Astyanax mexicanus: one gene and its partners. The protein of the gene in region 2 purifies or fractionates together with the protein of the main gene of each other region. This does not show direct contact. Links are inferred from orthologs where the notes say so. Each region holds a gene or a part of one and is shown on either strand. Other genes may lie near its edges. The genes, in order: phlpp2, wdr20a, phlpp1 and fbxw5.

Region 1 (6,893 bases), on a different chromosome or scaffold from region 2:
AGTACGTGATGAACTGCTGAGTCTGTGATAAGACAGATATGATAAAGTATAGAGCCATTGTGTGTTTCAGTAAAATACTGAGTCATTATGCACTGATGTCATGTTTAAAGGTTTGTGCTTTTCCATCTTAGTGACAGCATCCACTCTCACGTGCCTCACAGGGAGGATGTAGAAATAGCTTGGAGGAATGGAGTAATGCTGCAGTCTGTGTCACAGGTGAAATCACAGTATTTCTTACTGTTTTTCATGGAGTTTAGTAAAACACTCAGTATTCTGTAAGTGCCCTATATCATTAAAATAGCTTAACTAAATAAAATACGAAGAAAAATAATATTTTGTATTACAATTCTGACTAAATCCCTCTGCTAGTAGGTTTGAAATTGAGTTTCTTGTGTACTCAGTATAAAAAACTGGGCTTAAAAACCCTATATGGATAAAGGTTGTGGGATGCCTATTAATTTATTGATTTTTTCTGAAATCAAGGGTATTAAAAACAAGTCTGTCATCTTGTTGTGTCCCGGGGATGTCTTTCTTCTAGATTTTTGAAGCACTGCTGTGAGGATTTGGTTGCATTTAGCAATTCATCGCATTCAAGCATTGGATGGAGCTCCATCATTCCATAAAACCTTTTATCTAGCCCACACGTTCCATTAGATTAAGCAAGGCACCAATAGGTTCATTGTATTTATCTATTTTAGGGACTAGATAAGCTGTGTGTACAGTGGTTAAAAAAAAGTTTGGGCAACCCTGATAACTTTTATTATTTTTCTTTATAAATCATTGGTTGTTCAGATCAGTAATTTCAGTTGAATATATCATAAAGCAAACGAACACAGTGATATTTGAGAAGTAAAATGAAGTTTATAGGATTTACAGGAAGTGTGCAATAATTCTTTGAAAACAAAATTAAGCAGGTACATAAATGCAGGCACCCTTATGGTCAAAAATACCTTCAACCAGAAGCCAGCCCTCATTGGAAGCTATAAGAAGAGTTTAGAGGCTGTTATTTATGCAAAAGGAGGATCTACTAAATATTGATTTGATGTATTTTCTGTTGGGGTCCCCACATTTATGCACCTGCCTATTTTAGTTTAAAGGATTATTACACACTTTCTGTAAACCCTATAAACTTAATTTCGCTTCTCAAATATCACTGTGTTCATCTGCTATATGATATATTTAACTGAAATTTCTAATCTGAACAACCAATGATTTATAAAGGAAAATCATTATCAAAATGATCAGGGGTGCCCAAACTTTTTCAGACCACTGTCTATGTGTGCATTAGGACGTCTATGTGTCAGCAGTAGGTGCATTCACAAACATATATTTGAACATGTAGCATATTTAGGGTTACTTTAAATATATAATTCTTAATAAAGATAAATAATGACATTACCTTAAATAAAAAAGTGTATGTTTGTTGTTCTCCATATAGACTTAAAATGGATTTAAAATACACACATTTTCCTCAAGTAAACTCTGTCCACTGGCCACAATACCTGTCAAAAGTTAGGACACATCTTCATCAGCTGAACTAGTCAAGAGTTAATTACTTGAATTTCTTGTCTCATAATAAAGTGTTTGAGAGCATCAGTTAAAGTAAAGTAGTGCAGAGGTAGAGTTACAGGTATACAGTGAATAGGGAATATTTGAGTAATGTTCTAATCCAGATTATGAGAAGCAAGAACTACTCAACTAAGTAAAGAAAAAAAAGACAGCAAAAAAACATTAATAACGTTAGGATGAAACTGGCACTCATCAGGACCGCCCCAGGAAAGGAAGCGCAAAAGATTCCTTTGTTGCACAGGATAAGTTCTTTAGAGTTACCACCTATGGAAACCGCAACTTAACAGCTCCCCAGATAAGAGCACCTAAATGCTTCTTCACAGGGTATTTTAGTTTGTTTAACACTTTTAATTTACTACATGATTCCTTCATAGCCTGGATTGGACAGTTTTTACTACCCAATCGTAAAGTCTCTACTCTGAATCTGTGTTGTTGTGTGTTGGCTTACCTTGTGGGTCTTTGTTTAAGGTCTGTTTTTTCTATATATAGATAAGCACCCATTACATAGTGCATATGGCCTGTCACCTCTACTTAGTTGGGCTGGTACAAAAAAGGTTAAATATTAAACATTAGAGGCATTTTATTTATCTTTAACACGTGGTTTGACAAGTGTGTGTGAGACATATGAAGTGACCATGTTCAGGACTGTTTAAATTTGAACTTTAAAACCATATATAAACTTTGTTAAGCCTATATTATCAAGGTGAACTTGCTCTTTGATAAGAATGAGACACGCCCATGAAATACAAAACTAAGCATATTGACTTTGTGATGATCTTTGTGATGCATGACATCAAACTGAATGTATATTTTATGATAAAATCTTTTACAGCTATATACATAAGTGTGACGTCTTATAAAACTAGCCTCTATTACTTTTTGTTATATGTAAATTATTATACATTACATGTCCAGTTGTCCTGTAGAGTAGAAGTACTAATAGATTAGGACTGATAACCACCCTGTTTTAGTATTGAAAGTGGTACTTAGAAGAATCTAATGTATAAAACATATTCTCATTTGTTTAACCCCCTTTTTATGTTGTTGTTCACAAAATAATTCCATGTGCCATATCGTATCATACGCAAAAATAGTGCAAATTTTTGAACATATAAAAAAATACCTCCATATTGTGATATTGTAATATTCTTTGAAGCTGTCTATTTTGTATTTGTTTTCTTATTTACTGTATTTATTTTTAATTGTTTGTTTGCAGTTTATCCACAGGCACTAAATATACTTTTGTTTACTGGTACCAACAGCAGCAGATTACATGACTCTCCAAACCATCACTAACCATCAGCAAATTTTACATTTCATTTGGAAATAAAGTAGTAGTGTGAAGTTTCCACAATCAGTGATGGTTTGGAGAGACATGTCATCTGCTGGTGTTGATCCACTGTGTTTTATTATTAGGTCTAAAATCAGTGCAGTTTTGTTTTCACGCAAAATCTTACAGCACTTCATGTTTCCCTCTGCTGACAACTTTTATGGAGATGAGGATTTCATTTTCCAGCAGGACTTGGTACACTGCCCACATTGCCAAAAGTAGAATTTGTCTTAAATAATATTCTAATTTTTTTGAGATACTAATTTTGGGGTTTTTAATGCCTGTAAGACAAAATAATCCACAATAAACTAAATATGCGCTTAAAATAGATCACTCTGTGTGTAATACATTTATTATAATATAAGAGTTTCACATTTTGAACTGAATTACTGAAATAAGGCAAATTTTCTAATTTTGAGATGTAGATTGTTTTGTTGTTCTGTAATTACATTAAGCTATTTTTCCTACAATTTATTTTTTTGTTTACTATTATTTTATATAAAATTAAAGTCTCGGTAAGTTACTTTTTATGAAATAGACAAATGTTTATAGATTGTACATAGAAACGTTTAGATTTATGCTGAATAAAATGAAAACAAACATATTTTTGCAGTAGTATTTTCTTGAAATTAATAAAAATGTATAATATGTACAAAAAAATAATTAATAGCAAAAATACTATTTTATAAAAAAAATATTATTTGGGGGCAATATCGCCAACCTGTAGTTCCTGTATAGCTTTTAATTCCTGGCCAAAAAATATTGTATTCAAAAAGAAAAAAAACATGAATCATAAAAAGAGATAAAAACACAAGATTTTTTATATATTTCCTATCATTTGTCACGAAGCACCTGTTTTGGGCGTTCCTGTTCTCATGAATAATTCATTAAATCCGAAGCCCAGGAATGGGCAGTGCCTCATGAATAATAATTAGCCCCGCCCTCTACTGTTTATTGAGCGCGGATCTGACAGCCGTGCGATTCGGTCCCATTATGGCGTCTCACCGAATCAGGATGGGCTTTTTCCGCCGCCGCCTGTGCTGGAATTTACCGCTGGTCAGCTGCGACGCGACATCTGGACGTTTGGGTTGAAAACGGGACGTAAATGTAGGCGAGAGGATGAAGGACGAGGAGAACGCGGCGAGGCCGGTGCGGAATGCCGAGGCGGACGCGAAAAACGGGGCTGCTGTGGAGGACGGCGACCGGAGCGGCGCGGCGGTGGCCGTGGCGGTGACTGGATCTGCGGCGGGGGCTGGCGCTGAGGCTGCGTGGACCAAGCCGAAGCCGGGGCTTGTCGAGGGGGCGGGAGAGCGCGGCGCTGTGGCAGCCCGGGGTGGCACCACGGGGATACGGGTTTTAAAGGTAACACATCTGTGGCGTCAGTTATTTATCTCGTTAACTAGTTAGTTATGCGGTTAGTTAGCTAGCTAGCTGGGTTACCGTTACCGAGAGCTGTGAGCGAGCGGCTGCGGAGGGATGATGTTCCCGTTAACGAGGGCCGAAAGGCAACAGCCTACGTGTGTGAATAGCATCGTGAACAGCATCGAGAACGCCTCGCTCGGAACGCCATTGACCCCCTCCCTCCCTTCTCCCACCCGTCCGTCCGTTCAGCGAGAGATGATGATGATGATGATAGCTAGCTGTCTGTACCCTGACAGGAGCCGGGCTCTCCGGTTAACCGGGTTTACACCCAGCGCCCCGATCCTTCCCGCCCTTTTGCTAACTAGCTACAGCGCGCGACCAGCTAACTCACACCAACTGTCACTTTTATAACCTGTTAGCATCGTGGCTAAATCTGCACCTCTGAGGTAAATCTTTAGTTGAATCTGTGAAAGCACTATGTAGATAAAGATAAATAATCAATAATAACGAAATAATGAAAGCTGACTGCTAGATTTTAAGCTATATCGATACCTTTTTAAAGTAAGTTAAGTTAATTGTAATGTTTTTAAAAAACAGCAATGGTTTAATACAGTTAAGCATACACTTAGAAAAAAATACTATTAGCAAGTAAAATGATCTAATTTCCATGCAATAAATCTTAGTTTCTCTATGATAAAGATTTAAGCACCTGCTGAACATTTAAAGGGCATTTAAATCCCACAATCCGCTGTTTCTAGTTTGCTAGCTAGCTAAAGCGCTGGACCTGCTAACTTACACCAACTTTCACTTTTATAACCTGTTAGCATCTTGGCTAAATCTGCGCCTCTGAGGTAAACCTTTGTTAAACTGTGACAGCAGGATGTAGATAAAGATAAATAATCAATAATAACGAAATAAAGAAAGCTGACCGCTAGATTTTAAGCTATATTGACACATTTTTAAAGTAATTGCAATGATTTTTTTTTTAAAACAGCTATGGTTTAATACAGTTGAGCATACACTTAGAAAAAAAATAGTATTAGCAAGTAAAATTATCTAATTTCCATGCAATAAGTCTTATTTTCTCTATGATAAAGATTTGAGCAACTGCCGAACATTCAAAGGGCATTTAAATCCCACAATCCGCTGTTTCTAGTTTGCTAGCTAGCTAAAGCGCTGGACCTGCTAACTTACACCAACTGTCACTTTTATAACCTGTTAGCATTGTGGCTAAATCTGTATGTCTGAGGTAAATCTTTAGTTGAAACTGTGAAAGCACTATGTAGATAAAGATAAATGATCGATAATAACGAAATAATGAAAGCTGACTGTTAGATTTTAAGCATTATCAAAACTTTTCTAAAATGATCATAATGTTTTTCAATTTTTCAGGAAAAACAGATAACATATCATAGTTGTTATGGCTATGTATAAAAAACACCAGTGGTTTAATACAGTTGAGCAGTAACATTACATTTCGAAAAAAAAATAATATTAGAAAGTGAAATGATCTAAATCTATTTTTTCTATTAAAAAGATGTAGGTATAAGAGTATCAACTTGGCCTATGTCTCTAAAAGTGCCCAAATACAACAGATTCCATATTGACTCACTAATATCAGTCAGTTCCACATTTAAGCATCTTATGATCATTTAAAGGGCATTTAAATCCCATGTTTGACTGTTTGTAGTTTGTTAGCTGGCTAGCTATCTAAAGTGCATGACCAGTTAGCTTACACCAACTGTTGATTTTAGAACCTGTTAGCCTTGTGGCTAAATATGTATGTCTGAGGTTAATCTGATAAACTGTGACAGTACCAAATAAATAAAGATAAATGATTGATGATAACGAAATACAAAAAGCTGATCGCTAGATTTTAGGCTATATTGACACCTTCATAAAATAAATGTAATGTTTTTCAGATTTTCAGGTAACAAAAAAACATAGTTAACAGTTGTTATGACTATATATTAACATTTTAAGATGTTTAGTTTAGCATACAGCTGTACACAGCAAAAAAAAAAAAAAAACTTAGCAAGTAAAATTATCTAATTTCAAGGCAATATATTTTTTTTACTCTTGAGCAATTTCTGAGCATTTAACAGACATTCAGTTCACCACCAAATTCATCTGATGTAGGATTCTAGTTGAGATAGTCAGGGCCCTGTGGAAATATCCAGTTTTAAGGACGGTTTTTGCTGGTAGCAGGGTTCGGATGGTCTAAGCTGATCTTTAATAGTCAAACTGATTGAAAATCTTATTCTTCAGACAAAAACATGCACTATAGAGGTAAATTAACTTGTTAACCAGCTCTTGACCATCATAATGTGTGTTGAATTTTATTTTAGGCGTACTGATGATAATGTTTGTAGACCAGATAAACAATCAAACACTAAAGGATATATACCCTATAGTGGTCAAAATCAAGGCTGGTCAAAAAACAGCATCAGCATGACCGACTTGAGCTGTATATTCAGCAGGGGGGGCAACTCAGTATGCTTGAGGTCACACACACCACTCCTTCCACTTTCCCGTCAGAAGTCATTCTGTTCAAAGATGATAATGTTTGTAGACCAGATAAACCATTAAACACTAAAGGATATATACCCTATAGTGGTCAAAATCAAGGCTG
Region 2 (7,063 bases):
ACTAGCAGGGGGTGGTGTTATGCACTGCACCACACCAACCACCCCCACCACATTGGTGGCAATAATAAAAAAATTATTATTATTTACATTAACACTTTCATAAACACAGTTCAATGTAAAACAATCACAACAAAAGACAAAAAATCTTATAAAGCAAGTAAAATCAACAGGTTAATCATGAGTCTTGGGACTTCATTGTCTGTGCTGCTCTCAGATTATCAGGAAGAGCAATATATAGACGAGGGGCAGCAGGACAAAAGGCCAGTCACCCATGGTGCTGAGCTTGAGAGGAGGGTAATTAAAAAATGACCAAAATATAATTAACAGTACCAGTCAAAAGTTTGGACACACCTTCTCATTCAATGTTTTTTTCTCTATGTCATATTTTTTACATTGTAGGTTCATCAAAACAACTAAGGGACACACGTGTAATTATGTAGTAAACAACAACAATGCCCTGATCCAAGCCTGATCAACTGAGATGGTGATTTAGGACGAGCTAGAGCTTCACAGTGTAAAGGAAAAGCCGCAACTATTGTTCAGCACCTCCAGGAACTCCTTCCTTCCTGAGAAAACTATTCCAGGTTACTCTCCCTCATGAAGACACTGAGATTAAAATACCAAGAGTGTGCAGATCTGTCCTCAAAGACAAACGTGCTACTTAGAGGAACCTTTGGTTTACAAAATAATTTAGCATGTTTAGCCTGTAGAGCTTTAATATAGCCTTCGATATTAAATTTACAATGTAAAAAATAAAAAAGGAAAGAAAACACATTGAAAAAGACGAGGTGTGTCCAAACTTTTGACTGGTACTCTAGACCTTGAACAAACTCATTCTGGTTCCAGAAATCCCCAACTCACCTGTTGATAGTGCCGTCCAAATGGCTTCTGTGGTAGAGTAGGCCTCTTAAGACCTGTTCCTCCCTGGAAAGACTAAAAACGATACATTCATTTTTACTTACAGCCTCTCTAAATTTGTTTACCAAACCATTATTTTATAATCTTTAGTCACAAATAAAACAGCAGAAATTAGCATGTGACTCAATTACGGTAGACTTCTTTTGAAATTTCTCACGTACTTCTCATGTTTCTCCTGCACTGAAAGCTGGGACCTTGATTTTTGAGTTACAGTTATCAGTTACATGTGCCTACATAGTAGATGTTTATTGTAAATTTAGCTTCTTTTAAAGGAGAAATCTGGTGTAAAATGGACTTGGGGTTTAAGTAAATAGCCCACCTTTATTCACCCCCAGCATTCTGAAATACATAGTTTTTAGCCAATGCTCCCAACAGGCTTACAGTACTAGTGACAGGGGCATGGAGTTCCCATACAAAGAAATCACTGTTTTAAGACCATAAACAAGTTCAAAGTAGCTGAAAATATCTTTATAACATTAATTTATTTCCACTGAACCAATTTTACAATTTATTACGCTATCCTACTTATTTATCAGTTGAGTTATCATAAATTTTAAGATGGCGACACCTGGAGAACTACCTGAAGGTACTGTGTGTAAAAACAGTGTTGTTTAATAAACTACCTGTGCACTTTCAAAGTTCATAGTACCTCGTTTTAGATTGCAGGAACCTCAGAATTCTACCAATGAAGTGTGGAGCTACTTTGAGCTTGTTAACGGTGTAAAAAATAGTGATTTATTTACCTGAGCAATGCTATGCTCCTATCACTAGCACTGTAAGCCTGTTGGGAGCAAAGCTCTAAAAGCTCTGTATTTGGGAATGCTGGGGACAAACGGAGCTTAGCTATTTGACAAAAAATTATATCTATATCTATAAGGTCATTTACACCAGATTTCTCCTTTAAGACACTTAGCCATTATCCTTTTTTTTATCAGAAACGTAATAAAATAAAAGAAAAGTGCATTTTTAATTGTTCCCTGTAATGGGGTGGTCACTACTGGGGTCAGTACCTTACTGCTGGCGTCGGACCATCGTGGGCTTGTGTCTGACTCAGAGTCTGAGGTTGAATCCACTTTACACATCTCCTAATACAACACACAACCAGTCAAAACACTCTAGATTTATGGAAATCTAGTATCTACGACTTAGTATCTCATAATTATGACTTAGCATCTCAAAATCATGATTTAGCATCTCATAATTATGACATAGTATCTCATAATAATCACTTAGTATCTCAAAATAATGACTTAGTATTTAATATTCATGATTTAATATCTCATTTAGCATCTCATCTCATTTAGTATCGCACAAGTATGACTTAGTTTCTAAAAACTATAACTTAGTAGCTCATAATGATCACTTAGTATCTTATAATGACTTATTATTTAATATTTATGATTTAGTATCTTAAAAAATTACATAACATCTCATAATTATGACTTAGTATCTCAATTATTACTTGGTGTTTAATAATTAAGATTTAGTATTTCATCATTATCACTAAGTATCTTAAAATAATTACTTAGCATGTCACAATTATGACTTAATTTCTAATAATTGTGACTTAGTATCTTATAATTATTACTTAGTATTTTAATGATTACTTAATATCTCATAATTATGACTTAGTATTTTATATTTATGATTTAGCATCTCATAATTATCACTTAGTAACTCACAATTATGACTTAGTATCTCATAATGATCACTTGGTTTCTCATAATCATTACTTAGTTTTTCATAATGATTATTTGGTATCTCATAATTATGACTTAGTATCTTATAATGATCACTTAGTTTCTCATAATGATTACTTAGTATCTCAAGTATGACTTAGTATTTCATATTTATGATTTAGTATTTCAATTATTACTTAGTATCTCAAAATAGTTACTTAACATGTCATGATTATGACTGTCGACTATTCTAATAGTATCTAATAATTATGGCTTACTATCTTAAAATAAGGACTTAATATCTCATAATTATGACTTATTTTCAGGTGGTAGAATTGGTTTCTATAAGAATGAAGTCCAACCATGTATTTGAATGCCAGTCTGTCCACAGTGACTGGGTCTCTCTGATCAGATCTTATGTCAGGAACACCTGTGAGTATAATCTGTATTAGTAAATGTATGAAGTCTTTAGAAGATCTCTACAACAACTTCTTTATATTTATCTTTTCTTTCTATAATAATTTAAATATTTTAAATACGTTTTCTGGCTCATGCTGAAGGCCTGTACCTGCTGCAGCATGTCCTCGGCGTCGTGGCTGTTTGCTCGGCATTGTGGTCCATGTGGGGCTGAGTGCAGCGGCTTCAGGTAAATTAAAGGTGGGTCTGAGGATCAGCGAGGTTAAACTAATGTCGCCTTCAGCGCCCTAGCTCATCCCCTGTTACTGCGCACCACGGGTACGACTAAATTAATATAAACACTCTGATAAAACACAAGAGAGTAACAGCAGTTTTACTGACACGCCCCCAGCACTGAAAGTTTATTTTCAAAAACAGGTAACTTAAAAATAATTATTTTTGTGAGGTTCTTATGCGCTTACAATATGTATATATATTGATTATAAATCATGAGGAAGATGGATTATCACAAGCCATCAAACCAAGCTGAACTGCTTGAATTTTTGCTCCAGGAGTGGCACAAAGTCATCCAAAAGCAGTGTGTAAGACTGGTGGAGGAGAACATGCCAAGATGCATTTTTTTTTTTGCATTATTTGAGGTTTGAAAGCTCTGCATCTTTTTTATTTTTTTTTGTATTTTGACCAGTTCCTTCTGCAAATAAATGCTCTAAATGACAATATTTTATATGGAATTTGGGAGAAATGTTGTCCATAGTTTACAGAATAAAATACCATTGTTTATTTTACTCAAACATATAATGTTACCTATAAATAGCAAAATCAGAGAAACTGATTTGTGCCACAGATAAATATTTATGTCACTTTCTTTACAATATTATTATTATGATGTTAGTATTTTTAGTATTTTATATTTTTTTAATGCTCTTTATAAGTGGCGTAAGGATTATAAAATTCCCTTAAAACCGACTGACCGCAGTAGCCTGTGTGTTCGGTACTGCGCATGTGCGGCGCGTAAGATCCGGGCTTGGGCCAGGATGAATGCAAATTTCAAAGATGGCGGCGGAGGGAGGAGGGAAGGAGATGAACGAGATCAAAACTCAGTTCACGACCAGAGAAGGCGCGTACAAACTCCTCACGCACTCCGAGTACAGCCGCCCCAACCGGGTGCCTTTCAATTCGCAGGGCTCCAACCCCGTCAAGGTCTCGTTTGTCAACGTAAACGACCAGTCCGGCAACGGCGACCGAATCTGCTTCAATGTGGGCCGGGAGCTGTATTTCTACATCTACAAAGGCGTCCGAAAGGTAAACAGCGCCGCAGCTCTCGCTCTTTTCTCCCTCACGCGCGCAGTTAAAGTGTCAGGTTGCAGTTCGCTGAAGGCGAAAGTTGATGGAAGTCCGGAGAAGTCTGGAGGTCGTTGTTTGGCTGCTTTCCCTCGGCGTTTTTACGTGGACTGCTTGCTAACGTTAGCTTGCCTTGGCTAATTTAGCTCTTGGAGCCAGCCGACCGACAAGCTGTCAGTTTGGGCCTAACGTCAGGTACACCTGTCATGGGCACCGCTGGACCAACACTCTCCGCTCCTTCTGTACCCTTACGAGTCTCCTCAAACCCCTGCCTGCTTTTAAAGCGAACTAGCCTTGCTAATTTAGGCGTAACTAATAATTACGCACTCGTCGTGTAGGGATTAACATTAGCAGCGCGATCATGTTGGCACAGAGCTATAGCAGGGTCGTCCACTGTGAGCTAGGCTAGCTAGCGTTAGTTTGGTTAGCTTGGCTTCAACTTGTTTCAGACGAATGAATCAGCTGCGATGGAGAGCTCAGAGCTCCAGATCGCCCATTTTTCTTCATAAACTCGTGAGAGCTGTGTGTCACGCTGGTGACTGCTTGTTTATCAGGCAGATAGTTAGTTAGTTAACTTGTGTATGAGTGTGTGTGTGCGTACTTAGAGACAGAGCAATAACGTTAGCTAGCTAACTATGTTTAAAAGTCCGGGATATGGTCCTTTTAATGTTGTTTTCCAGAGTAACCAGGTATGCCTAAGTGTGAAATGATAAGGCTCTGTGTTGTATAACTGTTGTTTTGATATTTTTGAAACAGGCTAATCTCGTTGGTCTCGTTGTTTCTGCATTTTTATGTGGATTATCTATAGTTTGAGTTTCAGGTGTTGTTGAGTGTGCTAGCTAGCGTTAGCTGCGTGAGCCAGCTACTCGTTACTGGTAGACGTTATCTAACTTAGCTAAGTAAGTAGTTCGTTTGAAAACAAACGGGGAGGACGGATAATGTTGCATCATATGTTTGCAATTTTTCAGGTTTCATCAGTAATTATCAGTTTAAATAAAAAATAAATAAAAAAAAAAGTTGCAAGTGTTTTTAACATGTTTTGGTTGGATACAGATACACTTATTTACAGTGGGGGGCCGGATACGGAAGTTGTTATACTATTAGTCCCTTTATAAAGATTTACAGTCAGATGTAATGCTATAGGAATTAGGGGTGGGCGATACGGCACTAAAATAATATCACGATATTTCATGGTATCATCACGATAACGATACTCTTGAATATATGACGAAATACTGAATTTAAAAAATGATTTCAAGAATACAGACTACTGCATCAAAATGAATATAAAATGTTCTTATTGCATATGATATGTAATGGCACACCCCTAACTGAGATATTGAAAAATACAAGAAGTTTATCAGATTTGTAACAGAAGTCAATGATCCAGAATGTCATGGCACTAATATTGCGCTCTACATATATCCAGTATTAAATAAAAAAAATGAATGATACTGGACAGATATAATCTGTCTCTAGTAGATATACAATGGGAAATGAGAACAGTGTTAATTTTTCTTTTGCTTCTGGTTAATACAGTGTTCTTGCTGAGAAGGACATTTCAAAAGGATTTAGACAGAGGAAAACAACAAGAGTTCCAGGCAGTGAACTAAAGTGTTTACTAGCTTATTTAGCTATTAATTGTGATGCAGAAACTGTTTGCAACATTATGCAATTACATGGCAAGCAGTGGTTTATATTTGTTTGTTATATCAACAGGGACCCCTAGTACCTGCTACATTTTGGGGTGTATTATCAGTCATTTGTGTATACCAGTCTTAGTTCAATTTGAGAATCACTGTTTCTGCATGATTGCCTTAGGAAGTTATAAATGAACATAAATTATGCTGTCCTGAGACAACGAAAGAAATGTATATTTTTTAGTAAGTAAATTAAATCAAATCTGAATAGCCATATCTACTTTTTACATTTACATGTTTTTTTTTTTATATATATGAAATGTAAAAAAAAGAAAAATATATATATATTTATGTTTCTATATGCAATATATAGAACTGTTAACCCCATTTATTCCCCAACTTGACATGTAAAGGAAAATGTCTGATGATAAAAAATAAAGGAGTGATCTATTAATCCAAAACATTTGTTTGTTGCCTCAGGGCAGCATCATGCCATAGAGGGTTAAGGACTGCGCTTGTGATTTGATTAGGCGTTTATAATCAGTTCATTTATACCAGAAGAATTCATGTGACACTGAAAGCTTTATATTTCACTCGGGGGCAGTGACTCATTTGTTTAAAAAAAATATATGCAAGAGTACGAAACTTGATTTGCATTTTCTAAAGGTTTGTGTGTGTGTGTGTGTGTGTGTGTGTGATTGTGTGTGTTTGGCAGGTTCTAAAAACATTTGGCTGTAAGTTAAAGGGGGAAGAGATGGCTGTGTGTATATATGTGTGTATGTGTATGATAGGACTGTAGGGATAACATTTGAAGATACATTATAACAGAAAACAATATCATAATTAAAATGTTTCATCATACATATAATATTAATACAATAGGACTGTCACGATAAGTAAGCTATTAATTCGACATGCAGTAAGGTCTGTCACAACTACATTATCGACTTATCGTTCAATAAATGGACATGACCTCAATCATTTGAATAATTGTGATATTGTCCTTTTATATTGGGACTGGGTGTGGCTGCTCCTTGTATTAGGAAAAATGCATTCTATCAACACCCA
Region 3 (7,124 bases), on a different chromosome or scaffold from region 2:
TCTTATAATATAATACTCTAATTTTCTGAGACACTGATTTTTGGGTTTTCATTGGCTGTAATCCATAACCATCAACAATAAAACAAATAAATGCTTAAAATAGATCACTGTGTTTAATACATCTATATAATATATGAGTTTCATATTTTAAATTGAATTACTGAAATAAAGTAACTTTTTTAATGATATTCTTGGACTAGACTTAATCCCTTTTGGAAACTGTTTTGGAAACTGACCCTACTATATATTGTATACCTTCTACAACAGGTTAATCTTGTATTTCAAAAGCCATTAAAGTATTTAAATAGATAATACATTGTAATATTAAGGATATATAGAACTATAGTAGTTGGTAAGGATTCAGGTCAAAAGACAGACTCAACAGAAAGTATTGAACTTCATATAATTCTATAACAGTATTTTATTTTTCTCCATGTTTTTTTTTTTATGTATGCACAGACGGCACAGATCCAGATTTAGACTTTACCACATTCATTTATCACATTAAAACACCCTTTTTAAAACAAACCTTTTAAAATTGAAACATCTACAAACTATTGGTCCTGTCCTCGGTTTGGACAGGCTGGGCCAGATGTGTGAATTATTCAGCAATAAAGAAGTGTTTCTCTTTTTCATACACACGTCTGGAGGAGGAGTGAGTGAGTGTGTTCTGTGTGTGATAAGTATGTGTGTGTGACGAGTGTGTGAGTGTGTGTGCGCACCCTTTTATTTTTTGGCTGGGAGATGATTCAGCTTCCAGTGTTCAAATGATTGCTTTATCTTCATTAAACGCCATGACCAAAACCTCAGCCTGAGTAGCCTTATTTACTCCACTGCTTCCCTCACAAGGTAACACCTCACAACTTATACAGATGTAGGCATTCCCAAGCCAACCATTCCCTGAGGTAACACGTAATGCTCAATTTACACATTGCTATTACAGTACCGTGCTGGAGTATGATAATCTACTAGTGCATTAAAAAAATAGAATATCATTGAAAAGTTACTTAATTTCAATCATTTAGTTCAAAATGTGAAACTCATATATTATATAGATGTATTAAACACATAGTGACCTATTTTAAGTTTTTATTTATTTTATTGCTGATGTTTATGGCTTACAGCCAATGAAAATCCAAAAATCAGTGACTCAGCAATTAAGAATATTATATAAGACCAATTAATACTTTTTGCAGTGTGGGCAGTGTGCCAAGTCCTGCTGGAAAATGAAATCCGCATCTCCATAAAAGTTGTCAGTAGCAAAGGGAAGCATGAAGTGCTGTAAGATTTTGTGGGAAAACAAAACTGCACTGACTTTAGACTTGATAATAAAACACAGTGGATCAACACCAGCAGATGACATGGCTTTCCAAACATACACAAATAAGAGACCACTTAATGATGATGTTTTTTTTTTTTTATTTTACCAAATTGAAAACCTCTGGAATATAATCAAGAGGAAGATGGATGATCACAAGCCATCAAACTATTAAATGAACTGCTTGAATTTTTGCACCAGGAGTAAAGGCATAAAGTTATCAAAAAGCAGTGTGTAAGACTGGTGGAGGAGAACATGATGCCAAGATGCATGAAAACTGTGATTAAAAACCAGGGTTATTCCACCAAATATTGGATCTTGTTATTTTAGCCATTTCTAAAATAGAGCCAAATAAATGCTCTAAATGATAAATGCTCTTCACAATTGGATTTTCAAGAAAAAATATAAAATTAATCTTTTCTTTATTTTCTGAGCTTTTAATTTTGCCTTTTGCAAGAATTAAAGACATGTATTTGTTACAAGATGAAAATCGAGAGAAGATTTTTTTCTTGAAACTTTGTTTTCCAAAGGCTGAAATAAAAAAAAAACTATATAATTGAAAAATTGGATGAAAACCCATTTCTTTTTTACTCTACAGAATGGAAAATATATATATTATATATTTTTTGCTTATAGTTTTATACCAATTTTTCTATTTTCGAATTTAGCTTGACACAGTCAGAAAATAAACTGCTAAACGTTACACTGACCCATCATGCCTAGAACTTACCTTACAAACTCTTCACCTGTACAAACCCTTGATTTCAGTAGAAACAGTAGTGTTCTCTGTTGAGCTCTAGATGGCGCTCTTTACCTCTTAGTGAGGTCTAAACTTTACTCTACAAGATGGCGAATCTATTTTTAGCCGCTACACTCCAAATATCCTCCTTTACAGATATTTAAACAGATAAAACACACTGTATAATACTAATAAAACAACTTTATATTATTTTTAAATTAAATAAACTAAAATATACAAAAATTCAACCCTCGTAACCATAATTTTTACATGATTATCGATTTAAAAAATATAGACGAAAACTATTTTATGCTGTATTTATCACTCACACTGCTTTATATCGCTATAAAAAGCGTTAAATCGTTTTAAAAAAAACGATTTAAACCCCAAAAACTATCAACACCAGACAGCTACGCACATCCCGCCTAATGAAATGGACGGTCTCGCGCTGTCGCTGTCCCTGCGCAGTGCATCATGGGAAATGTAGTTTAAATAAGCGCACGCTTCCTAAGAAGTGTTAGCGCGCTTGCTCTAAAGAAAACTACATTTCCCATCAGCAAAATGAAAAGTGTGCAGCTCGCGCCGTTACGGAGTTCCCTCATGAATATGCAAAGCTACGTGTTTGCGTCAGAGCGTCGGATGTTTGCGTGGACGCGTCTAATCCGCGTCTCCGTGCACTAGTGAGGATCCATATATAGTGTGTAACTAGTGTTTAGTGCTCTAGCAGCGGCTTAAACACAAACATACACAGTTTTATGGCAATTAATCGAGTTTTTGGGGCTTTTATCATCGTTTTATGTAATTGAATGTTTGAATTAGCTAGATACTGTTTAAAAAGAAAAGGTTAAATATTTTTATTTAAGTATTTTAATAAACTATTTAATATTATTGATAAACATTAAGGATACATTTTTCTTTTTTTCCCTTGACTTTTTTTTTTTTTACATACAAGCCAGTTGTGCATATTAATTGTGTTAATCATTTTTAAACACAAATTATATATTATAAAAATAATAATGCAGAGCAAATCAAATACGTATTTAAATATTTAGAGACATGTATAGCCTACATATGTTATATACACAATATATGCATAACATATACATACATTACTTTTTGTTTATCACATTATGACAATGTCTAATATCCTTTAAAAGGTTTTTAAAAAGATGTAGAGCTAGAAAATATTTGAATGTAGTCAATTATTTGTCAGTCATACTAATATACTTAATATACTCATACTAATATAATTATTTTGATGACATAATAACAATAAAGCACATCTTAGGCTTTATTTTTGAGTTTCTTAATGTTTTTTATGTTTCTGAAATCATAACAATATTCTTATTTAACAATATTATTTATTTTTATATATCTTTATATTGTCTTCCAATACATAAAACACCCAATATTTACAGGTAGTAATCTACCCAAATTACTATTACCCAATTTTTTTATGTTTTTTTTTTATTTACAAAAGTAAACAATACATCTTACAAATAAGTCTTATTTTGATATGTATTTATTTGAGAATACTAATGTACATTTCTGAAATAATTTATTTATATACTTTGTAACAATATTATGTCTCTTTTTTGTCTTTCAATACATAAAAAACATTGTAAATGTATTGTAAAGCATTTACTTAATAGAATCGTTATTCTAATAATAGTAGGCTATGTTTAATTTATTTCACTATTACTACTATATTCACTACTTTAATAATAAATCTTATAAAATAAGTCTTATTTTATTTGCATTTATTTTAGCCTAAATTACTAATGCACATGACTATAATCATATATTTATATTATTGTTTATTACAATATTATTTATTATTTTTATGTTTTTTGTGATATGAATAGAAAAAAATAGCTTTATTAGATAATAAATGTTTTTAAATAATCTATCAGGTTAAAACAGTTAAAGTTTGGTTTAAGTGTCTTAAAAAAAACATAGTAGCGCCCTAAGTAGTGTGTTTCCGGTTAGCGTAGTGCGCTAGGCGCGAGTGTGCGCGGATTGGGACGCGCCCCGCTCTCTCCCTGGATGGAGAGTGTACTCTGTGGAGCGGCTCCGCCCCTCCGGTTGATCGCGCCGCTGCCCCGTTAAGTCTCCATGATTTGACAACAGCAGAAGTAGCCGAGGCCGTTTACCGCGGCGGGGAGGGAGCCGGGACGCGGCGGGACCTGGATGTGCAGCGACCTGCCTGGCGCCGCTCAGACGGCGGACTGCTCCTCCGGACAGCAGCGGTGCGCGTCCTGTAGCTGAGCGGGAGGCGGCGCGTCTACTTGTGGCGTTGTTGTGGCCGCTGCTGCCGCCGCCGCCGCTGTTTTTCTGCACGGCTGGCGGAGATGGAAAGTGCGCGGGCAGCATTCAGGCCGGCGGAGAGCGGCTCTAACACGGGAGGTTCGTGGAAACCCAGCAGTACTGAGATCAGCAAGCTGAAGAAGCCTGGAGGCCCGTCTGGAGCTTCTGGGGTGGACGACGGTGGGGGTGGTGGCGGTGTCAGTGGTGGTGGTGGCGGCGGCATTGCAAGTGCCAGCGCCAGTAACAGTGGAAGTACCAGTATCAGTACCAGTGCCAGTGGTGTGGAACCCAAACCCGAGATCTCCCGCATGGATGCCCTGAAGGGTGGCCAGCGCTCTCCATTATCAGAGCCCAACAGAACCACCATAAAAGCTGCCAAGAATGGCCGAGTGACTCCAAGTACTGGTACAAGTACCAGTACTAGTACCAGTACCGGCTCCAGTTCAAGTTCCCTTCTGCTCAAAAGGCGGCGACTCAAGAGAAATCTGTCCGCCGCTTCTGCTTCTGCCAAGCTGAGCTCAGCTGCTGTGCCCTCATCATCCTCCTCCTCGTCTTCCTCCTCATCTTCATCCTCCTCCTCCTTGCACACGCGCAGCCTGGACAGGAAGGCCCTGCTGAGGCACCGGCAGGCCGCAGTGGTCCAGCTCCAGGCCTCTGACCGGCAGTGGGTCCGAGCTGACCTCCACAGAGGTGCCATACACGTTCACGACAGGTCGTGGGACCGCTCAAGCCCTCGGCCTGTTCTGTGCACTTTGGAGACCACGGCGGGCGAGATCGCCCAGCGCCTTGGTCAAACCACCGGTGGCAAGGTAGGGTGTGTGGTTCGCGTTATAGGAAGTGGGCGGCCTCTCGCGGAAGGCCCTGACTTGGCCCCGGCTCGGTTTGAGCACCTGAGGCCGGAAAGTGACAGACAAAATGATAGACAAAATGACAGACTCAGACTTTTCTTGTTCGAGAAGGATGAAGGAAGTGGACGTTCTGACGACTTCAGCCTTTACTCTCCTGAGGTGTCCATCTCAGCCAGCCCCTTGACGCCGAACGGGAACAGCGAGGGGTCGGTGCAGAGCTTGGGGTCACGGCTGACCGAGCATAGAGACTCTTTAAGCGACGATATGATCCTGGGCACCGATGCGTCTGTACTCAGCCCACCGTTTGAGGGCCCGGATGCTTATGGAAGCTCCTCAGACGAGCTGGAGCTTGATGGCCCTGTACCTGGTGATGGCCCAGGTGGCCACCAGGTGACCCAAGAGTCGTCTGTTATAACAGACGGAACAGACATGAACGGGAACAGGCTGGAGCCTCTGAGCCCGGCACCTGTCACACCTGGCTCTAATCCGGGCTCTCCGGGTCACTCCCAGCACCTTTGTTTGCAGCCCGAGGCTCCGGAGAACCAGGAGGCCCAGGAGAACCAGGAGACCCAGGAGGCTGAGGGTCACGACACCTCGCCGGCGCTCTACGTGCAGCTTCATGGCGAGGCAGCCCGGCGTCTGGCACGAGATGAGAGGCCTCTGCAGATCCAGAACGACTTCCTCTTCAAACTGGGATTTAAGGACCCATGGAGGGTGCAGGAAGAGGGCATGAATACAGAGCTGGGATCACTGCTTCGCTTCTATGCAGGTAAAGAAAGCTGGAGGTCACTTTTGCTTTTAAATGTGAAAAGAAGTGCTTTTCTTGGGGGTCCCTGAGGATGAGGACGAATTAGGAGTAACCTGCTACTATACCTGAGCCTAGATAACAAGTGGGCCACTCAGAAATGTTTTTATACATGCAGGTCTTTGAAAAAGCAGGTAGTGGTGAAGCAAGGTGACTGTACTGGACTTTTGGTGCAGCCTTGAAGATGTTCCTTCACTCATCCAGGCCAGGCAGCTGGACATGACTTGACAGGAATTTACCTTGCTGTATCTGTAGTTTAACCTCAGTTTAACCTCAGTTCATCTTAATCAGGGGAAGCACCTTGGATCTGTGATGAAACAACGTCTTCCTGTTGCACCAGAAGTTCAGTGGGCATCTCAGTGAGAGTCTGTGTATGTAGGGCATTGGTGGTTGTTGTTAATGTGCTGATTGTGCTAGGGTCGCTTCAGGACCTCTATTCTGGCAGCCTGTACTGTAAACCACCTGCACTGCACATCCGATTCACCTCCACAACGACTTAAAGGGGAATTTCATCCATTATTCAGACTTTCTCCCTAATTAAAGCTTTACGATGTAAACAAACTCATCCTGAGCGCTTTAGTGTCAAACTCTCTGTTCTGGAGAAACTGGGAGATTTAGAATTGTGTAGAGTCAGACGAATCAGACGAATAAGAAACTGTGAAAATTATGTCTGATGCTTAAAATATTGTTTTAAAGTAGAATGTTATCATATTTTAACCTATATATGTGATTTATTATATTTTTTTAGTTAACTGTTTTTGTTTGGATGATATATTGTAATATACAACACTATTGTACTTTTACAAACTAATAATTTATTCCTCTAATTCAATAACATAGTAGCATAATAAGGGGAGTCCTTATTAATTGAGAATATTGAAACATTGGAATCACAATATGAGCAATATGAATTAATATCCTACACAAACAAAGCTTAAATCAAATGTAAGGAAACATACCAATCTTCTTTTTATATTAAGTATATTATGATGAATACAATATTAGAACAAGATGATAAATATGTATGATGGTATTAAGTATTGATCAGTGTTAATTCCACTGACTTTTTTATTTATGTATTTATGTATTTATTTATTTATTTATTTA
Region 4 (7,819 bases), on a different chromosome or scaffold from region 2:
GACAGTGCAGTCTTTGGAACATGACGAGAAACGGTGTCCACGGTGAGAAAAGGCCAGGTGTAGGACCTGGTCATGATGTTCCCTCAGTGTCTGTACCTCTACGCATGGGATGCAGTCATACAGCCTTTTAAATTCCCTGTACCATGACACAGCCGCTGCAGAAAAAAAAACATAGAAAAAATTATGGTCCTTAACTACATTTTTTGTTCTCTTTGATAACAGGCCTAAGCCCCATGTTCCAACTTTCGTTGACTACCTCTTTTTTTTGTTAAAAAAATTAGGATATATTCACTGCAGATCAAGCATGAATGTGTATAATAATTCATAACAATTTTAAAATAGTAATATTATCTAGAATGTTAAAATAAATGCAAAGGCAGTGCAATATTTCTATCTGCAGTACCTGGGTGGCGGGGCACAGTGCGTGGGATGCGGTAGTAGCTGTAGAAAAGCTCCCTCCACAAGAACTCATCCCGAGATACAGCAAACCACTGCCGGCATGCCAGGCCAGCCCTCAGCACCGCAGCATGGGGAAGATGCAAGAAGATCTCCAGCACCAGGCTGTCTGGCAGGCCAGGACCATTCTCCATCCTGACATCCTGAGGGAGAAGCACAAACATCATCCTCCATTAGTTTTGGCAGTATTACTTACATTCTTGGTCCTGTACAATCAGCTCTATAGACTAGAAATCAAAACAGCACCTCTACTACCTGAGAAGACTAAGAAACGTTTTGGATATTTTAGAAAAGAGATAGAGATATAGAAATATACACACACAGTTTGTCTAGCCCTGTAGAAAAGAACTGTCAACAGAATCACTCTTTGGCGCAAATAAGCATAAATCTATAGACACTATGTCTATAGCCAGGTGTGGGCTAGAAGGATATAAAGCCCCCCAGTATTGAACTGTAGATTTTTGCTCTCTCGAATGATGGTGCCCCAATAATTTTAGGAAGAGTTCAGGAGATAAGGATGTGGTGGGATGGGGTTGCGTGTTTGTAACGATCATCCAACATTCGGACCTTACTAATGTTCCTGCTGCTTAATGCAATCAAATCCTTTAAGCAATACTCCAAAATCTAGTACTAAGACTTAATTAAACAGTAGAGACATTTGATCTAAAGTTTTTTTTTTCTACAGCAATGATTAGGAAACAATTAATGTGTCCCAAAGTCCTCCCAATACATAAAAAACACTGGCACCAGCCCACGTTTCCAATCTGTTCATTCAATAAATCAATTCTGTTATAGTAAATTTAATTTTATGCAACTGCTTACTGGACAATCACTATAAAATCAAATGTATCCTGTGGCAACTAAGAAAAAACTAAGGAAGTTTAACAGGGACTGGTAGTACTATTCTAAACAGACCCATCAAGATCATTTTCTAGGTGCAACATGACCACTTGCAAACATAGAAACTTCCAGATCATTTTCTCCCTTTCTAAATAAAGCAGAGGCAAGCCATAGCTCAGTGCATACATGCAGCTGCTTACAGAAGTAGTTAACCTACTAGTTTTTGTTTTACAGAGCTACTAATCGAAGTTTTAAGAACGCTAATCTAAGTTTTAAGAAAGGTTTATATGATGTATTAAAAGGTCCTTTCTAATTAAGAATATGTTCCCTTAGCATAATAAGATATCACATAGACAGGTGGATAGAAAGACAGAGAGATACCTTTACAGCATGTTGCCTCAGTAAAAAAAAAATCTGTTACCATAATTTAACAACCAATTCCTCTAGTGCAGTGGTTCTCAAACTGTGATAAGTGTATCAGTGGTGATGTATGAAAAACACTAAGGAGCTATATACCACCAAGTAAACTTTTTAATTTATCAGCAACTGAGTATTAGATCTAGGTATTAATTTAAGTATTAGATTAGTTCTAACCTCAATTTAATCGGTTTTCTAAATCCGCAGGCTGCAGAGCATCAAGTGCAAAACTACAAGACTGAGAAACAGCTTAATTCCAGAAGCTGTAAGACTCTTAAACTCCACCTAGCCAACACACTGCACTGACACTCTACAATGACAATTACATATTTAAAATTACACTGACACTTTAACCGCACAGTGACACTTTATTATTTTAAACTGTTCTTGCAGGTTGAGTATGGGAATAGTTAAATCAAATAACAACTGACAATTTAAGGGGAATATTTTAAGACTCTAGACAACTATAAAAAATAATATTTTTAGGTAATTATACCTATATAATATCTATCTTTGGGTTTACTACATTTCTATTTAAGCTAGTAAAAGTAGTTTACTGTGATACATCTATTTTATGCAATTACTCACTGGACAATTACTATAAAATCTAATGAATCCTGTGGCAACTAAAGAAACTCATAGACTTTAACGGGCTCTGGTAGTGCTATTTTAAACAGACTCATCAATGACAATGTCTTGGTGTAACAAGTAGATTAACCACTTTTGTAAGCAGATTTACTAGCTAACTTACTAACCAACTGAGTGATGAGAAACGTACAACGTTAAACAAACTTAACTAACCCTAGATCATCTTAGCTATAAACTCCATATGGAGATTATCGCTAGTTACCAAGGTTAACGTCCTTACCTACAGGCTGAAAGCCAGATATAACTTGTATTAAAGTATATTAAAATGTAGGACAAGTGTTAGAACATAAGTATTAGCTAGTTAAACCGCGTTAACTCTTTTAACCTGCTAATTTTCAGCGTTTTGTGTGTGGAGAGAATCAGCTTTCAGTGGAACTCGCTAAAAACAGAGCTAGGCTAGCTCTAGCTGGCTAAAGGGGTAACCGCTAAAGCTAACCTGATTATGTTGGGCAGCTCATAAACAGAGATTAAAACGCGCTACAGACACAGTTCAGGATTTATACTCTTCACACAGACAGTCAGTACTCCGCTCCACCGAGTCTTACCTGTCAAACCCCAGAGTTATGGAGCAAAACGAGAAAGTGTAGCCAATATCCGAGAACACCGGCTAACCGCCTAGCTCCGCTCCCAGACCTCACCAGCCGAGCGCCAGAAAACTGATAGAAAGGTGAGTAATCAGGCAAAGACTAATCAATACCCGATCACTACGATAGATATCTGTTATCTGACACTGCGCAGTTCCGCTATATTCCATTACTCCTTCTCCTTCTCCACGGGAATAATCCAGATCATCTGGGAAAGCGAACCCACTCTTATAAAGAGGAAAACCATGCTGTGCTGATTAATAATGAGCGGTAAGTTCAGACAATATTCAGTTTACCATTCATTCCTAACCTCTCATTCTTTAGTAACTTTAATTTAAGTGATGTTTCTGTATGACATAATATATGACATATAGCTAATTACAGGTAAAAAAAAAAAAAACGCCTAAAGAATTTTACTCTGGAAGAAAAACAGGAATAAACATTCAAATGATTAAAAAAAACAAAAACACTTTTAAATAAAATATAATTTAATGTTTAAGTAATATAACTAACAAGTTACTTTCTAATGTGTTATACTAGGATTTGGCCACAAGGCAATACAGTGGAGTTTCTGAATGACATATAGCTATATCTAACTAGGTAATGTGATATGATTTAAAATGACAGCTATTAAGCTTCTCTATTTTTCTAAATATTTGTAAATTTTTAATTTGTTTACCACAAGTGCTTCTCCACAGGTAAAATAAAGTGCCTAAAGAATTTTACAATGGGAGAAAAAACAGAAATAAACATTTAGATGATTAAAAATTACTTTAAAATAATAAAAAAATAAGATAGAAATAGAAATAAAACGTAAGGTTCTCAGTGTATTATAGCTAATAGGGTGTGGCCACAAGGCAATACTCTCACTGACAAAAAGAAAACCATTTAAAATAAATTATATAATTTAATGATTCAGTAATTTAACTAAAATGTTACTTATGGTTCCTAATGTGTTATAATAGGATGTGGCCACAAGACAGTAGTGGACTCTCTGTACGAAATATAACTATATCTAATTAGGTAATGTGATATCTAGGTAATGTGATATAATAATAAAAAAAAAGCTTTACTATTTTTCCTAAATATTTGTACATTTTAAACATTTAAAAGATCACCACAAGTGGAAACTACTCCACTGTTAAAACCTAGTTAGCAGGTTAAAGTATCTATCTATCTAAAGAAAGTACCTAAATAAATTTACACTGGGGGAAAAACAGGAATAAATAATCAGATGATTAAAAAGCACTTATATAAAAATAATGAAATGATTCAGTAAAATAACTAACAAGTTACTTAAGGTACCCAATGTGTTCAAATAGGGTGTGGCCAAAAGGCAATACAGTCATTGACAATAAAAAATAAAAATAAACATAAAGATGATTAAGAAAAACACACTTTTATATAAAAAATGAATCAATGGTTCAGTAGTATAACTAAAGTTACTTTAAGTTCCCAATGTAATATAATAGGAAGTGGCCACACAAAAAAAAACACTTTTAAATAATAAATAAATCAAATTGTTTTGTGGCTTTGTTCTAAGTAAACTGCATCACCTTTCATTGTCATTTATTTATTTATTTTTCAATATATGTTTTAGATTTTTCGTTATCTGTATGTTCGGGTAGGGTTGTAAGTTAGAGGGGCATGTTTAATTCTAGTCCCTGTTAATACCCTTCTCCTGTTAAACAGTTCAATAAATATATATTTAAAAAAATAAATAAATCAATGAATCAATAATATTCTTACTTAAAACTCCTAATATGTTAAAATAGGCTGTGCCCAAAGGTAGTACACTCACTGCCTCATTAAAAAAACAGAAATAAATATAAAAATTATAAAAAACTTTCAAATAAAAAATAAATAAATGGTTCAGTTTTATAATTAGCAAGTTACCTTAGGTTCCCAATGTGTTATAATAGGGTGTGGCCACAATAGAGTGGAGTTTCCGTATGAAATATAGCTATAGCTAACTAGGTAATGGGAGATATATATATATATATATATTTCTTATAGCATTTTCGTTGTCTCTTTGTTTGGGTTGAGTTGTAAGGAAGGGGGGCATTTAAGATTTATATGTGCTATTTGGGAGAAACGGTTTAATTCTATACCCTGTTTATATTCTTCTCCTATTAAAAGTTCAATAAATATTAACATTATAAAACATTATATAAAAAAAAGAAATTAATTATTCAGTAAAATAAAAAAAAATGAATAAACTTTCAGATGAAAAAAAATGCTTTTAAATTAAAAATAAACCAAATTGGTTAGTGGCTTCATTCAATGTAAACTGCATAACTTTTATGGTCTTTTTATTTTTGGTATTATTATTAGTTTAGTTAGTTCGATATCAGTGTATTATTTTATGGCAACTACGAAGTGCATTTGTGTCCTCAATATATTATGTTGTGCCCACACATTAGGGGGCAGATATATTATTATATTATATTATTAAGGAGTTGTTACTCCATTGTAAGCTTGTCAAGTCAACTAATATGTAAAATGAATCACATGGTTATGTATGCGTTCTGCTATCAGGACTTTGCTACCTGTGGGAAAAGCTGGCTGGCTGCTGCAGACCCACAGGAAGTCCAGTCACAAACACAGGATGACACAGTAACCGTACGTATGCCAAAAACCTTACAATCACATGAACTCATATTTCCAAGTTACCCATTACTGATTCAGTGACTACGGGAAAATGACACGCATATGTGTTTTTTGACTCCTCAGAGCAGCAAGTGTTGTCAGCATGGGAAAACCCCCCGCCAAGCCAGCAATCACCACCAGCCAGTACACTGCCTGTTGTAGCGGCTCAGTGGTTTAATACCTGGTGCTAATTGAGATGTTGAAATATTTTTTAATTGGGCGCCAGTTATTAAATTAATTTAATTAGATCAATTAATTAATTAATTAATTAATTAATTAATCAAATTAATTAATAACACAAGACATCTCAGGGTGTGGTTTCTACAGGTGACAGAAATTTTCATAACCAAGTTATCCAGAAAAACACACTGAAATGACAGGTTTTGTAAAATAAAAGTATTTATTAAATCACACAGATATGAGTAAATAATTCATTAAAAAGTCATAAATGTAGCCATTAGCTATCAAATCATAGTGTAGAATGATAAATGAGAAATAAAAGAACAAACACGTTATAATGCTGATATGAAAGGAATAAAGATTAATATAACTATTAAGTGAGTATTTCTAAATAAGGGTCTAAGGCATTTTAAGTCTACGAAACCAATTCTTATTTCCAACCAAGCCACTCAAAATGAGTCATCTATACTAAAGACGCTCTATTAAAGACCCGACCAAACCATGACCAACAGACACCATCTGCCGAAAGATTAAACCCAGCTCTGCCTTACTCTGAGTTGTTGAAGTGAGCCTTGGTGACGTCCGCCTGGGTTGGTCGTCTGCTGCTTCACCCCGAAAAAGGATCACGTGAGCCTGTCTGCAGGGTGGGTGGACTTCCTGTGTCAGCACGGAGCCCCAGTAGAACCCACAGGGTAAATCCCTTCGCTCTCAGGTGGCTTGCTGGTGGCCTCCGGACCGCAGGTTTCTGGGTTGGATCTGGCGGATCTCCTTTTCAGCTGTACTTTAGCTAAACTTAGATGGAATAATGCTTGGCTTCGTAGATTGTAAAATAACCTTAGATATTTTAACTAGGATAGCTAATATTAATATACTTGAAGATTAAATGCACTAGTCTAAGAAAACTAACTTAAGATGACTAAACTAACGGTCTATCCTTTCTCCATCTCTGGCTCCCTAACCTCTCTCCTCTAACTGTTTTCCTCAACTCATCTTCTCCAACTCCTTCTCTAACTGCTTCTCCTCCAACTGCTCTGACCTGAACTCCCAAAACTCAACTGGCAACTGAACTAAAACTGTGTCTGCCCAGTTTACTATTAGTCTCTGTGGCCTGTTTGGCCCCTGAGCTATGATTGGCCCTGTGGCCCAAATGTCTGTGTTTTGATTGGTCTAGGAGCAATTTCAAACTTTGGTGGGGATTCACAAAGGGCCATAAACCCCCCCTCCTCACATGGTCAACATGCTTCAGCATTTTTCTAATAGATCAAACCAAAAGAAAACTCAATTAAACAGTGGATCAAAATACCTTTTTCAGCATATCAGTTTGTGAGGATAAATTCAGGAAACAAACAATCTTACAATTGAATCACAATAAATGTAATATATATATATTTTGCCCACAAACAGTTTTGTAATACTCAAGATAATCTTAGGAATACAATGATGGATGGTACTCTGTCAGAAAGAGATCAAGAGTCATGTTATTATTTAAACCCAATTAAATCACTTAAAAGATAATACATGGTTAAACCACTGATAACCAAATAAAGCTAAATTATCAAATGCTAGTTAAACCTTGTTGATTCAGACTTGAATGTGTAGGAGAATTTAATCAGGACACATCCAAACACATATACCATTATCTAGTAAACATTCTATAAAACACCTTTTTTATATAGTCAATATATATGTATTTTAAGCAAAATCTTCTCAGTGAGAAATTCCTCTTCTCTGCTGAGTGTTTAGATAAGCGGCTGTCGTCGGAATTTACGACCGTGGGGGAAGTTGGTGAAGTTGGTGTTGGGAATGTAATTTCCAAGCTAAGAGCATTCATTTTAACTTCATGAATCTTATTTCTAAGTGGTTGCAGAAAGCACAAACCCCTAAATTGGTATAATATATTTGGTGAATTTACAATTTCCAAGGCATTCATTAAGTTTTGAACCCTCTCTCAAGTCCCGTAGTCCCGTCCTTGTCCTGGTGATTGTGCTGTTGGCAAAACCACAATTGTGCACAGTTCCAGATGTTTAAACATTAACGGTCCTAAA

Evidence for each region.
Region 1: the proteins of wdr20a (region 2) and phlpp2 purify together in Homo sapiens (affinity purification with mass spectrometry; 4 studies listed by BioGRID and IntAct, with this or other methods). This does not show direct contact. The link is inferred for Astyanax mexicanus from reciprocal best matches to the Homo sapiens genes WDR20 and PHLPP2.
Region 3: the proteins of wdr20a (region 2) and phlpp1 purify together in Homo sapiens (affinity purification with mass spectrometry; 4 studies listed by BioGRID and IntAct, with this or other methods). This does not show direct contact. The link is inferred for Astyanax mexicanus from reciprocal best matches to the Homo sapiens genes WDR20 and PHLPP1.
Region 4: the proteins of wdr20a (region 2) and fbxw5 purify together in Homo sapiens (co-immunoprecipitation; 3 studies listed by BioGRID and IntAct, counting the BioPlex papers as one, with this or other methods). This does not show direct contact. The link is inferred for Astyanax mexicanus from reciprocal best matches to the Homo sapiens genes WDR20 and FBXW5.

Annotation. Positions count from the first base shown.
Region 1 is NC_064423.1:38,447,798-38,454,690, reverse strand, and holds the start of phlpp2 (PH domain leucine-rich repeat-containing protein phosphatase 2), read left to right. Parts: upstream 1-3,872; 5' UTR 3,873-4,018; coding exon 4,019-4,261; intron 4,262-4,508; exon of another isoform or gene 4,509-4,707; intron 4,708-6,893. UniProt on the Homo sapiens protein: Protein phosphatase involved in regulation of Akt and PKC signaling.
Region 2 is NC_064421.1:44,984,690-44,991,752, forward strand, and holds the start of wdr20a (WD repeat-containing protein 20), read left to right. Parts: upstream 1-4,042; 5' UTR 4,043-4,052; coding exon 4,053-4,316; intron 4,317-7,063. Other genes in the region: uncharacterized protein LOC103042329, read right to left, coding at 862-933, 1,929-2,003, 2,960-3,027, 3,166-3,208. UniProt on the Homo sapiens protein: Regulator of deubiquitinating complexes. Activates deubiquitinating activity of complexes containing USP12. Anchors at the base of the ubiquitin-contacting loop of USP12 and remotely modulates the catalytic center of the enzyme.
Region 3 is NC_064415.1:8,447,732-8,454,855, forward strand, and holds the start of phlpp1 (PH domain leucine-rich repeat-containing protein phosphatase 1), read left to right. Parts: upstream 1-4,119; 5' UTR 4,120-4,408; coding exon 4,409-5,981; intron 5,982-7,124. UniProt on the Homo sapiens protein: Protein phosphatase involved in regulation of Akt and PKC signaling.
Region 4 is NC_064408.1:19,868,341-19,876,159, reverse strand, and holds the start of fbxw5 (F-box/WD repeat-containing protein 5), read right to left. Parts: upstream 3,011-7,819; 5' UTR 2,907-3,010; intron 600-2,906; 5' UTR 591-599; coding exon 404-590; intron 156-403; coding exon 1-155. UniProt on the Homo sapiens protein: Substrate recognition component of both SCF (SKP1-CUL1-F-box protein) and DCX (DDB1-CUL4-X-box) E3 ubiquitin-protein ligase complexes.